4 linked regions of the Caenorhabditis elegans genome follow. The protein of the gene in region 1 purifies or fractionates together with the protein of each later gene. This does not show direct contact. Each region holds a gene or a part of one and is shown in the gene's direction. Other genes may lie near its edges.

Evidence for each region.
Region 2: the proteins of knl-3 (region 1) and kbp-3 purify together in Caenorhabditis elegans (affinity purification with mass spectrometry, with the first as the bait; one study listed by BioGRID). This does not show direct contact.
Region 3: the proteins of knl-3 (region 1) and kbp-2 purify together in Caenorhabditis elegans (affinity purification with mass spectrometry, with the first as the bait; one study listed by BioGRID). This does not show direct contact.
Region 4: the proteins of knl-3 (region 1) and hcp-4 purify together in Caenorhabditis elegans (affinity purification with mass spectrometry; one study listed by BioGRID). This does not show direct contact.

What each region holds. Positions count from the first base shown.
Region 1 is NC_003283.11:1,867,168-1,871,077, forward strand, and holds knl-3 (Kinetochore NuLl), read left to right. Parts: upstream 1-2,045; 5' UTR 2,046-2,046; coding exon 2,047-2,613; intron 2,614-2,666; coding exon 2,667-2,957; intron 2,958-3,020; coding exon 3,021-3,194; 3' UTR 3,195-3,391; downstream 3,392-3,910. Other genes in the region: T10B5.3 (Small-subunit processome Utp12 domain-containing protein), read right to left, coding at 634-872, 922-1,149, 1,201-1,394; T10B5.4 (aralkylamine N-acetyltransferase), read right to left, coding at 3,409-3,567, 3,849-3,910.
Region 2 is NC_003280.10:14,388,722-14,391,806, reverse strand, and holds kbp-3 (Kinetochore-binding protein 3), read left to right. Parts: upstream 1-1,728; 5' UTR 1,729-1,741; coding exon 1,742-1,895; intron 1,896-1,950; coding exon 1,951-2,079; intron 2,080-2,122; coding exon 2,123-2,216; intron 2,217-2,481; coding exon 2,482-2,509; 3' UTR 2,510-2,571; downstream 2,572-3,085. Other genes in the region: nurf-1 (DDT domain-containing protein), read right to left, coding at 1-123, 795-1,087; F26H11.8 (uncharacterized protein), read right to left, coding at 2,983-3,085.
Region 3 is NC_003281.10:4,902,684-4,905,587, reverse strand, and holds kbp-2 (Mediator of RNA polymerase II transcription subunit 21), read left to right. Parts: upstream 1-1,703; 5' UTR 1,704-1,717; coding exon 1,718-1,813; intron 1,814-1,860; coding exon 1,861-2,076; intron 2,077-2,124; coding exon 2,125-2,304; 3' UTR 2,305-2,404; downstream 2,405-2,904. Other genes in the region: F26F4.8 (C2H2-type domain-containing protein), read left to right, coding at 281-316, 385-487, 534-624, 673-787, 837-1,106, 1,150-1,269, 1,316-1,413, 1,461-1,536; tag-340 (START domain-containing protein), read right to left, coding at 2,627-2,733, 2,783-2,904.
Region 4 is NC_003279.8:3,862,287-3,867,493, reverse strand, and holds hcp-4 (HoloCentric chromosome binding Protein), read left to right. Parts: upstream 1-1,555; 5' UTR 1,556-1,556; coding exon 1,557-1,601; intron 1,602-1,706; coding exon 1,707-1,913; intron 1,914-1,962; coding exon 1,963-2,169; intron 2,170-2,218; coding exon 2,219-2,341; intron 2,342-2,393; coding exon 2,394-3,379; intron 3,380-3,431; coding exon 3,432-3,991; intron 3,992-4,036; coding exon 4,037-4,186; intron 4,187-4,236; coding exon 4,237-4,559; 3' UTR 4,560-4,661; downstream 4,662-5,207. Other genes in the region: guk-1 (guanylate kinase), read left to right, coding at 4,942-4,996.

The sequences.
Region 1 (3,910 bases):
TTTCGGAAAATTCTACAAAAGATATATAAATTCTCTTGGTTTAACTGAAAATATCATCTTTTGTAGCTGAAAATGCCTAAAAACTGTCCGAAAGTTGCCGAAAAATCGGTCATCGGCAACTTTCAGGCAATTTTTCTGCTCTTTTTCCAATTTTTCCACTAAAAATAATGTTATTTTCAGTAAAAACAAGTGAATTTCTATGTTTTGAGACTGATTTTATTGAAAAATTTGGGAAGTACAGGCTTTTTGTAGAATTTTCCGAAAATAATTGAGAACAGGAATATTCACCTTATTATATACTAAAAACCGCGGAAAAATCTGATTTTTAATGTTTTTTTATAAAAAACCTGCAAAAATTCATTTTCCGAGCTTATCTACAAAAAATTCTATTTTGCCGCATTCTCTCGGTTTATATGAAAATAACACACTTTTCAGCAGAAATATTGGAGAAAATGCCCAAAAATTGCCTGAAAGTTGCATTTTTCTGCGTTTTTTTCCACTTTTTCCACTAAAAACAATGCTATTTTCAGATAAACCAAGTGAATTTTCACTGAAAAACGTGGGAAACACAGGCTTTTCCGCTGGAAAATATCTTGCGCGTAATTTTCCGCGAAAATCCGCTCAAAATATTACCATTATTGAACACAACCAACGGCTGCTGCACAATAACCACATTATTAGTTCGTCTCTTGATAAGATCAGCGATTGTGGATATTTTTCCGTGAAGAGCCAACAAATCTCGATGATGACCGACTCTTGAGCGCAGCCAGCCGATTAAACCGCCAATTTCCTTCTCCAAATTCGGAAGTGAGCTGAGATAAGGCATGTGAATTGAGAAGGCGATTTGAGCCCATCGGATGGTTGGACGAATGCTGGAAAATCAATAAATTAGGAGGAATTAGTACTAAAAATTCGATTTACTCTGCAGCATTCCTCGTTTTCAAGCGAGATTCGATGATTTTGAGCAATGGCAAGACCTGCATCGGCTGGAGATCACGGAGGGTAGCGTGAATAATTTCAGAATTCAAATTTCTAATGACTGAGTCGATTTTTGCACTATCATTAGCCATTATTCCCTGAGTAAGCAGAACACATTGTGATCCACCGCCGCTACCACTCGTTTTTCCCTTTTTGAGTTCAGAAGTTGGCCTGAAAATCGGAAATAATTGAATATTATCGAAAATCCACCAATAATCCTACGTGGCTGGCTCTTTTTCACGATCTCCGAGCGGTTTGTTGGCCTCTTTCTCCGATTCACTCAGTTTTTTCCCATTTCGAAGCGAACCGTTAATATGCGAATGCCCATTTACTACAGGGGACTCGATTTTCTCAGGAGTTGCAGGAGATGTAACTGCCGCCACATTTGATTTCCTGGCTTTCCGTTCTCGAGCCATTTTCTGGAAACTGCAAAAAAATATTGGAAAATTCGATTTTAAGGCCATTTTACGCACAATAATCGCAAAAAAGATACATTTCACGGTAAAAAAGCTTTAAAAACTAATAAGAACAATAAAAAATCAATAAAATACGCCTGAAAACCATGAAAAACTCTTCAAAAACGCCTGGAAATAAGGAAAATAAAGATTAAAAATTTTGCACCGCAAACGCGCAAGCGACGAGAAATGCGTCAGTGACGGGGTTGGCGCGGCAAATTAACCCCGCGAATTTTGAACGTGACCCCTTCATTCGGTGGATTTTGGGCCCAAAATTTGCGATTTTCTCTTATTTCCATTTCATTTGCGGCAGTTTTTTCCGGAAAATACACGAAACTGGCTTATTTCAACATGAAAATCCAACTTTTTTAAGCGAAAATTGTCTAAAATTGAAATAAAAATGCAGAAAACGGGTTTGTCTATCTGAAAATAATGTTTTACGGCATTTTTCGGCAAACTGCAAGCTTTTTAACAAAAATGAGTTTTATTTTCAAATAGAAAAACCCGTTTTCTATCAATTTTAGATCAAAAAAGTTGGATTTTCATATTAAAATAAGCCATTTCTTTGTTTTCAACGTTATTTTCTCATTTTTAATCACTAATTCATTTCAGAATGTCTCAAAAATCAAACGACACCACATTCTCGGTCAGAGCCGCGCTCTTCGCATCACCCGTCGGCTCATCATCAGCAGTTCCAAAGAAGAAAGTGGCTCGAGAGGTGCCACGTGCAGGGCCGCCAGTTTTTGCCCTCGAGCACGATGTTTCGGAAGTCACCGACAGAAATAAAGACGGCACCTTTCTGGCTGCAGACGCGTGCGCTAGTGGCCCTACTTTGAAGGTTCCAGACGAAACACAAGGTTGCCCAGAAACTTTCAGTGTTTCGGAACACGAAGATGACGACGACGTTGAGCCGATGGAAGTTGATGGAACCATCGTTCCGTCGCCCCAGCGAGCAACGCCGACACGTGGCGTAACTCCTTGCGAAAAATCGACGACTCCACGCAGAAGATCCTCGAGAAAGTCGATGCCAACGCCTGGGAAGCGTCTGTTCTTCACCAGCAAAGACACTACGAACGAGGATCGCAAGGCTGATGACTCGACGCAACTGGAGCTTCTGATGGCAAAGATTCCGCAGGAGATGTCGGGTTACATGAAAAAGTTGGCCACCGACATCAAAGAGGTAGTATTATCGATTTTTAACTTTACATTTAAATCTAAAATTTTCATTTTCAGATGAGCCAATACGATGCACAGCTGGCGCGGAATATCGACGACATGGAAGCGGTTTTCAAATCCCGCGAAACTAAGCTCAAGTCAGCTATTGAAATCGCCAAGGACAGCTTCATCTCGTCCGCTCTGCCTCTTCGCCTCGAGACCCTGGACATGACTCTGCGTAAAGAAGAATCGCCAAATGATATCGTTGCGAGACTTCACGGAAGTTTTCTCGACAAAACCCAGGATGCCGGAAACGTGAATACTGCACAAAAGGAGAACCAGCAGCTGGAGGATGAGCGCGGGATGCTGGTGAGAGTTTCAAATTATTTAAATATGATTTTTAAAAATAAAAATACAATATTATATTTCCAGGAAGAAAAGCTGGAGAGTCTCAACAAGATCAAGAGAGAGAAGGATGAATTTCTGGCGAAAATGCGAAAAGAGGAAGAGGAAGCGCTCGCTCGCCGGGAGGAAATCAAGCAGGGCTTCGAGCGAATCGATGCTCTAATGAGCAAAATCAAGCCGATTCCAATTTTTGAATTCTGATTTCTGATTTCTCACGCTCTGTATAATATTCTATTTCTGACACAATTGATTTCATAAATACATGTATAATATTTTATTCATAGCCTAGGTCTTGCTTATTAAGTGTCAATTTCATTACGTGTACTTTAATTATTGGTTTTGAGTATCTGAAGTTGAGATCCTAGCTGCTTTGGTCCTTTATAAATATATGTTTCTTTAATTTGAGTTGCTATCGCTATCGAAGGTCGTCCTCTTCCTCCTCATTTGCATGTTTTTCTAGCTTCTTCCCCATTAGTTTCCCGCTGACTCCACCGTCGACGAGGTTCTCGAAAACCACGTCGCCATTGTTTCGAAAACAGGAAAATGGCATTTCGCGAAGTGTTGTGAGACCACACTGGAATTTTATTAGTTTTTGAAGCTTTTAGATCGAAAATTCATCGAGGCACCACGGATTCAAGTGCCAACGCAAAGAAACGGGCCAGATCCGATATCCCACCGGTTCTAGATTTCGTGGTGCCTCAATTGGTCTTGCCACGTGGTCAAAGGTCTCGCCACGCTTCCGATGTGGTGTGTGTGCCTTTAAACACGGGTACTGTATTTTTTATAGGTTTTCTGACTTTTCGCTCTATTTTTTTCGTAAAAAGCGGAAATTTTATTGAATAAGAAACTACTATCCTTGCTGAAAATATTCTGAGAAGCCACAGCAGTTGCAACGGTTGCCACGTACTCGCAATCTT
Region 2 (3,085 bases), on another chromosome or scaffold:
AGCATGAACTCATCGTCCGAAGATTCTTCTTCTTCTTCAGAATCCTCATCCATGTAGATAATGTCTTCTTCTTGGCGTTTTAGCGATTTGCGACGTGGTGGAGTTGGATTTTTTTTGGGTCGGCTGAAAATTGATGGAATTTATTTTTAATCTGAACAGGCAGATTTATATAGCTTCTAAATATTCTTAATTTTGCAAAATTGGGATTTTTCAGAAAAATTCCCAATTTTTTGGAAAAAAAATCCATGATTGTGAAAAAAAAATCTCAATTTTTGAGTAAAATTCCATTTTTCTGAAAACAAAATTTAATTTTTTTGCGGAACACTTTATTTTTGTTTTTCTTGATTATGCAAATTGTAGCCTCGTTTTCAGGCGTTTTTCCGCAAAACTATCATAAAAAGAATTTTGAATTTTCGATTTCTGAAAAAATGAGAAAAAATCAAGAAAACCCGAAAAATTGGCCGGAGAACGCAAGCATAGTTCCTTCGGAATTTGAATATTTGCAAAAATTCGAAACATTTTGCAGTTGTATTCGGTATTACCCAGGCGCGAAAATATGATCTCGAAACGACAAATTTTTGTACATCGCAAATGGGTTTGCATAGTTTTTCTTTAAATCTAAATAATTTGTTGTGAACGACGTGAAAAAGCGTATTATACGTTTTTTCGATTGAAAATTTGACGAAAGCGGAAATATCCTAAGAATTTGCGTTAAAACTTGAAAAAAGCATTTAATTGAAAATTATCTGAAATCAGCGGAATTTCTGAAATTATTTTTCTTCTTGATTTCTCACCCTCTAGCCTTCGAGGTACTCTTTGGTGCTGGTGTTGACGCAGGTGTAGATCTAACCGAGATCTCTTCAATCTTCACCTCCACCTCCTCGGCGTCTGATGGTGTTTCCCGTTGAGCCGCACGTTTTTTTGTTGGCGGTGGACTGTAACCGTCGTCAAAATAACGTTTCGGAAGTCGACTGCGGCGTGGACGAGATGATGATGTGGATTCTGATGGGTCTTCTGAATCGGCAATTGAAGAATTTCCGGATTCAGACGGATGCTTTCGCTTTGAACGGCCACGTGGTGGAGCCATCTGAAAAAATTTCGAAACTTTTCGAAAATCGATAAGCTTAAGAATGTTCGTCAAAAAATATTGAAAGCCTCGAAAGGAATAAATTTAAAATCAAATTAGAACACTGGTAATTGTGAAAAAGAGCTTGAAATCCAAGAAAAAAAGATTTTACGTCATCATATGGTCTTTGGAGGAAAATCAATAAAATTTGCGAGAAATGACAATCGGAATATAACATTATTAGATAAAAATACATTAAAAAAGGATCCAGGATTGGTAAACTACAGTACGAAATCTTAATTTTTGAAGCTGAAAAAATCGATAATGGGATAAAACTCATTTTCCAGCGGAAAATCGGCTTTTCTCAAGTGGAAACATAAAAAACAATGGGAAAAAAGGAAAAATAATAATTTTCCGAAATTTTCCTTCACTTTTCCGTCTAAATAATCAGTTTGGACACTTTTTTGAACGCGCCGCGCCGTAAATCGACTCAGTGCGAGAGGCACACCCTAAAGGCGCACACATTTATTTGCAATGGTCGCGACGAGACCTTGGCCCTCTTGACGCGGGAATTTGAGTTGGAATTTATCTTTGCTAATTTTGCTGTCGCATTTTTATTTATTTATCTTAGTTTTTAACCGATTTTCATTGAATTTTTGCAGGTTTTTCGGCAAAATGGAGTCACTCAACGAGTATATGGACAAGATTATTAATCGTCTTAAGGCAGTCAATGAGAAAGACGAATTAGTTGATGAAGGAATGCGGAAACTCCAAAAATGCCAGGAAAAAATTATGAAAACGAGAATCGATGCTCAAAAACATATCGATGGTAAATTTGCAAGGAAATTGTTTAGATGTGTGCATAAAACAAAACATTTGTTCAGAACGCCACGAGCAACAGTCATTCGAACAACAGCTACTGAACAAAAATATGTTTGAAACTGAGCAACTGGAAGAAAAACTAAAAAGATTGGACGATGAGAACAAAATTGGAAATGAGCGGGAATTTAACAGTAAGCTGATAGTCTTTGAAACAATTTATCTGATTTACTCCAGAAAAATTGGAAGCAATATCTGCGAAGTGGACGGATGACGTCAATCTCTTGAAAACCACGCCGAATGAGCCTAACGATGGGAATAGAAAGAAATTGTAAGGGATTTAATTAAAAATAAGTTTTGTGAAGAAACTGCTCAAAAGTTTTTAAAATCTGGACTAAAATCTTCAGTTTTGCCTACTTTACTGTGTGGCTGGCAGCAGTCGGAACTTAATGTTTATTTAATTATTATTATGCGGGCGGCACTGAAGAGCGGTAAAAATTTTGATATTTCACCACCAGACTCGTTTATATAGGTCCATTTTAAAGCTATTTAACCAAAAAATCCTTCTTTATAAACTAAACGTGTATTTTTTTCAGATCGAACCTCTCCAACATCTTGGTCTAACTCTGGTTTTCATCCACGTATCAATTATGCCTTCTTTTCATGTATATTAAATCATTTCATTTATTATATTGTTATCATCATCACATTTCAATAGTTTCCAATTGTTCCGTAGAAGGTATTAGGGAAACTCTTCTCTCTTCCGTTCGAGGAAAATTTGTTCAAAAGTTCCCAGGTGTTAGCGGAAGATTGTGGATTTTCTTGTGATGTCGTGGTTTCTACAGGAGCCGGTCTCACTCTTGCCAGGGATTCTTCAGAAGAAGAGGATGATGATGAGGAAGACGAGGACGACGACGAAGAAGACGATGAAGATGTGGAGGAGGATGGACAAGAAGCAGAAGCTCTCCGATTCAAAGTTTTCGGGCAAAATTCTCCATTTGGATTCACCTCGCAATCGTGATGAATTTTCCACGCGATGAACTTGTCCAGGTACACATTTCTATAATTGGAATTTTTCTATAATATTTGGAACATTTTTATCTCTGACAACCCGGATGCAATGGGGCCTGCCTACAATCGACGCCTTTTCTCTGTCTTCCCTGGATTTTGGATCTCGCTGCAAACTTTCTCGCAGCTTTC
Region 3 (2,904 bases), on another chromosome or scaffold:
CATTGTGCATTGTATTTATTGAAACTAATTACAATTTATGATCCAATATTATGCAAATCGATCAGTTTTTGATAGGTACCCAATTCGTGGCCGAGTCTCTCGGAAAGCTAGGCCAAATGCCGTTTTTGGCGGCAGTCGACGCGTTTTGAAAAAGAAAGAATGAGGACACGCAAACGTTTTTCTTGTCAAATATTCCCGTGACCTTTTGACAACTCATAATCATGGAGACGTGTAAGATTGATGATATGGACGGTGACGGTGAATCATTATTCAGTGTTAAATGGAAGGCCTTCCGGAAGAATCCGCGATTCTCGAGGTAATTATTAATATTTATTCAAAGCTTTTATATTTTTACTTTTAAGTATCATAATCAAAACGTTTCAGGTGAATGCCAATACAACTTCCCCCGATGTAAAAGTTAAATGTAAACAATGTGATCGATTTTTCACGTCTGAAAGATCCCTTCGTTGTCATATCAAAGTGCACAGTTAGTTTCAGGCGATTAGATTTATGAAACCAATATTTATTTTTAGATGACAAATTGTTGGAGTGCTATTTCTGCGACAAAATGTTCAATCGAACGGATACTCTGTTTTTCCACGCACTCGACCACATCAGCAAAGGGTAATTGCAAGAAATATTTTGAAATTTTTGAAAAACTGTTTCGTTCAGAACTCTACCTTGTCGTGCCGAAGGATGTGATCAACTCGTTGAGACCATGTTAGAGGGCGAGAATCATGCGAATACAGCTCATCATGTGAATGGTACAGTATCGATAAAGTGCAAGGTAAGTAAAATATCGATAGATTGAAACAGAACTAATCAAAACATTTCAGGATTGCTCCGAAGTTTCAGTATCCTTCCGTAAAATGCTATTCCATCACACATTCAAGCATGGAGAACTTAAAGAATATGCGGAGGAAATGATTATCAAGCAGAAAGATTTCCTTCGAATGAAAAAGAATCAAAGCCGGAAGGAAAGAAAAACTTCAGTTGGAGCAAAGGAAGAATCAAAGCAATTCGATGTTCAAGATGCTTTAGAAATCGAAGTCAAGGAAGAAATCTATGAAGCAGACGAAGATGATGGGATTTTAAAGCAATTGCAGGTTGGATTTATAGCATGATAGAGGTTGAAACTTGAATTTTCAGATGGCTATGTCTGTATCATCAGCTTCCAATTCGGAGATGATCGCGAAACTATCGGATGTGATTGCAGAATTATTCCCATTGAATGATAACGAGAAATACCAATGCACTCATTGCTTGATGGTATGGTTTTTGCTCTGGAAAATCTTAAAAACGTAATTTTTCACAGAGTTTCACCGACGCAATCCTCTGGATGACGCACATTGGATATCACGAAATTGACGATCCGTTCAAATGTTCTGGATGCGGCCGAAAGTTTGAGAATCGGTAGGCTATTTCGAAGATTTTGCTCTGAAGATCAGTAATAATTACAGACAAGCGTTCGCTCTTCATCTAAACTACTTCGCACATACAATTGGTTTTGGAGGAGAAAACGAAAGCGATGAATAGTTCTATTTCATGTTCCTTTATTTTATTTAACAAATAAATATGCATAATACTTGTATTTCTGCTCAAATTTATTCCTGCGTGAAGTTCCATAACTTTTAAAATACTTCTTGTTTAATTTCGTTTCATAGTTTCTTGTTAAGTGTATTTGTAAGTTTTCCGCGTTTTAGATAAAATCAATATCATGTCGCAAAGAAAAGAAGTCTTGAATCAAATGCTGGACACAACTCTGGAAATATTCACAAAATCATTGTTAGAGTCCCAGGATTTGTGGAAAATGGTAAGCTTGATATTTTTGCACGTTTTATCCAGAACTAAAATTTTCAGAGTTCTCATAGAAAACTCAACATGGATAAAGCTGCAGTGGATGCTGTGATGGCTCGAATGGCGAAATCAACACAACAAAAAGTTTTGGAGAAGACTGATCAAATGATTAAAGAAAATAGTGTTTACGAACTTTTCGATGATATGGAACAATTGACGAGAGAATCTGAAGAATTAAATAAGCAACTCGGAAGAGAAATGGGATATAATCCAGTCAATGTTTGTATATTGATTTTAATATTAATATACACATTTTCATCGTTTTAGGCAAAACGAGATGTCGCATTGCACCTCTCCGAAACTGCCGAGAAAATGCTCACTGAAGCAGATGCTGAAATCGAAAAGATTGAAAAAGAACTGAAAGCTGAAGAAGATGAAATAGCTCGTCGTAAGCAGGTGCTCAAGGAGCTTGCAACAATTGTCGAGTCACAACAGCAAAAGCTGTAGAATTTTGATATTAATATAACCTTCACTTAATTTAACTGAATCTTTCTTTTCCTATTTACCAAATTTTTCTGAACTTTTGTTTGTCTCTAAAATAAAACTTTCTCTTCAAAAAAAACATCTTTCGGAATAATTAATATTCATATTGGTTTGGAATTGTGAGGGGAAAATTCAGAAAGGGCAAGGAGGTATGAAACTTTAAAAAGTGATTAGTCATGATAAAGGTTAGCAGGAATATCTAGCGATGGGAAATAGGGGACAGATACTTACAGAAAAAAAAAAGTAAATCACATTCAAGGTATAAAATATAATTTTGTGTTGAATCTCAAGGAGGACAATGATAATGGGTTTCTGCGAACTCATTCATCCGTTTCACGTGCTCACTGAAGTAATTGACCATTCCCGAGTGAACAAGACGGCGTGGAAGGCCACCTGAAAAATATAATGAATAGAAAAATTGATAAAGTTTTAGTTTTCATACCTTTGAGATCAGTCTTCATGAGCCATTCGAAATAAGTTACTCCTGCTTCATCTTTCAATGTTCGAATCATGGATGGGAAATTGTGTCCTCGTACGATTTTCGGATTTCCATTGTTTGGGCAT
Region 4 (5,207 bases), on another chromosome or scaffold:
ACAGGAGAGAATGTTAAAATTGAGAAACAAACAAGACAACTATTTTGACGAGCGACGTGAGAAATGATAGAAGTTGTTGCTCGCCTTTCTCTTTTACACTGGAAACGCAGAGAGACGAGAGATCGAGCGAGAGACCGCGCATTTGGATGGGTTGAAACGAATCAAATAAAAAACACATGAAGAATAACCGAAAACACAAATATAAATGTTTGAAGATCATTTGAAATTAAGAAGGCATGAACAGTAGTGATAAAACAAACCATTTCTAGAAATTTGATCAAATATGCTGTCAAAACAACGTCACTCATATAGATAAAAGTAAAAAATCAAGAATCACAAATGTTTTAGGGAAAATCTGAATTAGAAAATTGGAAGAAATGAAAATAATACATTTTGTAAACATTTTTTCTCAATTTTGGATGAAATCGATGAAGGGAAACCTTCAAAATTGTAAGACAAAAAGGCAAAAACAAAAAATAAATGGAGACCCGAAGAACTCGGGGGATGTCCAATTGGGGGGATTACCAGGGGATTGGTCCCGCCCACAGAACCGTGGCTTGCAATACGCCCATTTCTGCAACTGCCGCACGGTTTTAAAATTATTTTTTCTTGTTAATTCTCGCTCTATTGAGAAAAATACAGTTTTAAAACCGTGCGGCATTTGCAGAAATGGGCGTATTGCAAACCACGGTTCTGTGGGTGAGGCCAATCCCCCGAGTTGGTAATCCCCCCAATTGGACATCCCCCGAGTTCTTCGGGTCTCAATAAATGTTCGAAAGTATAGAAAGCATGCAAAATTGCGTTAAGTTAAATGCTGTCTGTGCAAACATCTCCGCAAAAGTTCAAAATTTTTTGCGCGGGGGCGCGGGTCTCACCACGAATACCGTACACTTGATACCGACAGGCGGGAAAAATCATTTTTAGAGTCTGATTTTTAGGCTTTGATTTTATTCTATTTTTCTCTTTTCGTTTTAAAATTTTATTTTCTTGCGGATCATTAGAAAAAAAAATGAAAACGCGCTTGAAATAACTTTCGAAGAACTTGGTTGAAATCAATATGTACTTTAAAGAGCTACCGCTCAACTAATATTGCACGAATTTTATTTAGAAAACTACTAATAAATTCTGCGTTTAGTATTTTCTACTGTTAGGGACGTGGAGGCCTTGTTGAAATTCGTGAAAACAAGCATAAATAGATCTCGATGAAGTATTATTCATTTTTCTTTATTTCACCAAAGCGTATCGATTGGCCTCTCTTCAAAACTGCGTTTGACTTGGTTCGGCTATTATTTTATACAAAGTCTGTGTCTTTCTCCCTTAAAATCAATCAATATTTGGCTCATAATACCTTCTTGCCTTTTGAATGCGAAAAGAAAACAATAAATACGTTTCCTCTATCCTCTTCTCGTAGCCTTCCCCCTCTAACCAAACGCGCTCCGTTGTACAATGCAAAACCGCCACTTTCAAATTTAGCTCCCATTTGACATCGAGAAGTTTGCTTATATTTATTCACCTCTTAAAATTGTCTTTTTTTCAAAACGATATCAAATTGCAGAATGAATCGAAAACCGCGAACCCGCAGTACGATTGTTCCTGGTCGAGTAAGTGATTCAGATTTTTAAAATTCTTAACAAATGTTTGATTTTTACAAAAAAAAAGTTCCACATTATGGTAATTTGATTGCTTACTTATTTTGTTTATTTCAGAAAATGATCACTGAAATCGTTGCTCTTCGTGAGGCTGGCTTGGACGATACAAGACCGTCGTACTTGGAGGAACCAACAGTTATCGTCGATGAATCGATGATGAATGATAGTGCAAATTTGGAGGAGCGAGAATGGAGAAAACAGGGACTATCTGAGAAGCAGATGTTCGCTATTTTGGAGAAAAGGAAACAAACACAGCTTAACAATGTAAATTTCAGTCACAAAATCTTTTCAACACCTAATAAACTATATTCAGGCCAGAAAACGTCTCGAAAAGGAAATGTACGGAGCGAAAACCTTCAAAGAGTTGATTGCTTGTCGTGAATACTCCGAATGTGAGAGCGACAGCGAGAACACTGTGAATCAAAATGTCCGAAGCGCTTCGGTTTTTGCCATTCCGGCGCTTCCGAAACACATCAGTGAAAAGTCGATGATGGGCTCGCCAATTGCTAATTCCAGAGGGGTATGAGATGAATTTGCGTGTTCATAGTTTAATAAATCTATAATTTCAGAGTGGAAAAGCTGGATTAAGTTGTTCAACTCCCAAGAGCTCGAGTGATACGTCGATGAGGTCCTTGAGATCGCTTGATATTTCACATGTCGTCAATACCGATCGACTAGATGCTGAAAGAGTGGTAAAATTTGTTTGTTTTAAAGATATTTAAACTAACTTTTATATCGTTTCAGACTGTTCACACCAAGTCTGTCGTTATCCCAACCATTCTCGAGGAGAGAGAGTCAACACTCCAGAAAACTCTCACGATTGAGAAGAATCACAGCTCTCAGCTGCAAAAAACCTTCACTGTGGCTGAAGATGCTCCTGAAGAACTTCAGAAAACGGTGACAATCGAGAAGAATCAGAGCTCGGAAATGCAAAGAACGTTTACGGTGGCTAAAGATGCATCAAAAGAGCAATCACAGCTTCAAAGAACGGTAACGATCGAGAAGAATCAAAGCTCTCAGCTGCAAGGAAACTTCACGGTGGCTAAAGATGCTCCTGAAGAACTTCAGAAAACGGTGACGATCGAGAAGAATCAGAGCTCGGAAATGCAGGGAACGGTCACAGTGGCTAAAGATGCAGAACACTCCTCTCTACAGAAAACGTTCACAAAGCCGACCGAGAAAGATGAGTCATCACTTCAAAGAACTTTCAACGTAGCTAACAGAGATGAAAATAACGATTCAACTCTTCAAAAGACGTTTATTATTGAAGAAAGAGATGCATACGAGCAAGGAACCACGAGTGTTGGTGTGAAGCCTCCAGTACTGGCACAAAACACGATGGAAGGAGGAGAAAAACGGAGAACGTCGAAAGTCACTTCGGATGAGCGAGAACGACGTAATGCCAGTATTTCTAATCCTCTTCACAACAGTATGCTCGAAAAGGAAGAAATTCAATCGCCGGGAGCCAACTTCTTCAAACATCCCCGAAAAAAGATCAGACCGGTGGTTCAAACGCCGCCACGAATCAAGGCAACCAGCAGACTTAGTACTGAATCGAATAAGGAGCGAACGATTGAGATGGAATCGGTAGCTGAAGAACGAACAATGGAAGCGGATTCTATTGGCTCGTCTTATATCTCTCCAACATTCAATGCATCTCGAGTTTCGCCGGTTCCAGAAGTTCCAGAAAAAGTGGAGCCAATGCATGTATCGAAAGCCGCAACTCCAAAGTATGTTTTTTTTCGAATTGCGGAATATTATTCTTATTTCTCCATTTTCCAGATCGATTCGGCACACGGATAATTCTATCCGTAATATTGGACCCACCAACAATGTCGAATGTGCTCGGGCTGCACTGCTCTCAACACCGACTAGGATGGATATCGTTGATTCTGTGAATCGAGTGACCCCGGCACGACGATATGAACAGCCTACTTTCGCTTCACTCGTCAAAAGGATGAATATGAAAGATGCTAATCGTTTGCTTGAGGAAACTTCACGAAAGAATACGCCTGCGAAGACTACTGCTACAACTTCTTCAGCCGCTGTTCGCATGGTTTTGGAGGATGATGAGGAGGATCAGGCGACGGAGGTCATTGAAAAAAGATCTGAAAATGGTGGTGTGATTGTCGATGGTGAGGATGAGGCAGCAGATTCAAGCAATCGCTCCCTGAACATCGAATTGAATGCGCTGACTGTCAACGAAGAGCCTGCACATGATATCAGTGCCATTGATTTTCCAGAGGACGATACAAATGAAATGAGATCTTCTTCTGACGAAGAAGAAATGGAAGCACGTCCAGATCCAAGGAAAAAGTCGTCTAGAAGACTCGGGCTTCTTAGTGAGTGTTACTTCACAAATAACAACGTTTTTAAAACAATTTCAGGTGATTCGATTGCTCTTGGTCTTGCTAGTTCGTCGAGAAGACGCCCAAACGACACATTCGTTGACGAAACATGGTATCCTGAACCGAATTCTAAAGGAAACAGACGTCCGAGAACACACAGGGGTATGAAACTGAAAGAGCATCAACTCAGTGAGTTTTAATTAATTAATGCAATCATTCGAAACTTTAAACATTTTCAGTGAAGCCAGAAGATGCTCCAGACGGTGTCCGAAGATCGACGCGTGTCCGCGTGAAGCCTGTTCGTTCGTGGCTTGGAGAACAACCGGTTTATGTCAATTCGCCGATTAGTGGCTGCAAGCGATTGACTGGTGTGACGGCCGTTGTCATCAAGGATCCGCGTTTGTGCTATTACAGAACTGCTGACGTCAGAACAGCAACCGAGCGAGAGCTGAAAGATAAGGCCAACAAAAGGGCTTTGGCGCAGGAAAAGAAGCAACAAAGACAGAATGCAAGAAGTGGGCGACGTCACGATAGTGACGACGATGAAGAAGATGATATGTGAAGAAATAACTATTGCTCCACTATTTAGCAATGTCAAAAAACCCATCTAATCCCAATACCTGTAAATAATGCAATTTTAAAGGGAATAAAGTTTGAATCTGTCAATCCTTTTTTATGTTTAGTTTATATCTGGTGAATTGTTCCAATAAATTTTATTTATTTTTCTTTAATTTGCGCGACATCCTCCATATGCCTAGCAAAAATTCAGATTAGCGATTTTCAATTTGCTCTAATGGGTTGTATATCCGGCTGAGCCACACACACACATACACATATTTATCACTAAGTCGTCGTCATAAGCGTGATATATACCGGATATATAAGATTTGGATATTTACGAAGAGGCGAGGGGTATAAATAAGCGACGGCCCGTTGAGGTATTCATGCACGCCACCTCCCGTGTCGCCTGGTTTTGGCGGCCGTCCTGTCAATCGTTTAGTAAGTCTTTTTTGCGCGCTTTTCCAGAAAAAAATCAGCTTTTCGTTTTGAAATGTTGTCACTTTACAAGATTTTTCCATGTATTCTAAGATTCTTCTTAAAGGCGCACGGATTTATTCAGATGGGTCTCGGCGCGCAAAAAAGTTTATGGTAGTCTTCTGAGAATTCTTCCTCGTTTTCCTCGGATTTTTAAATGAAATTACTTGGTTTT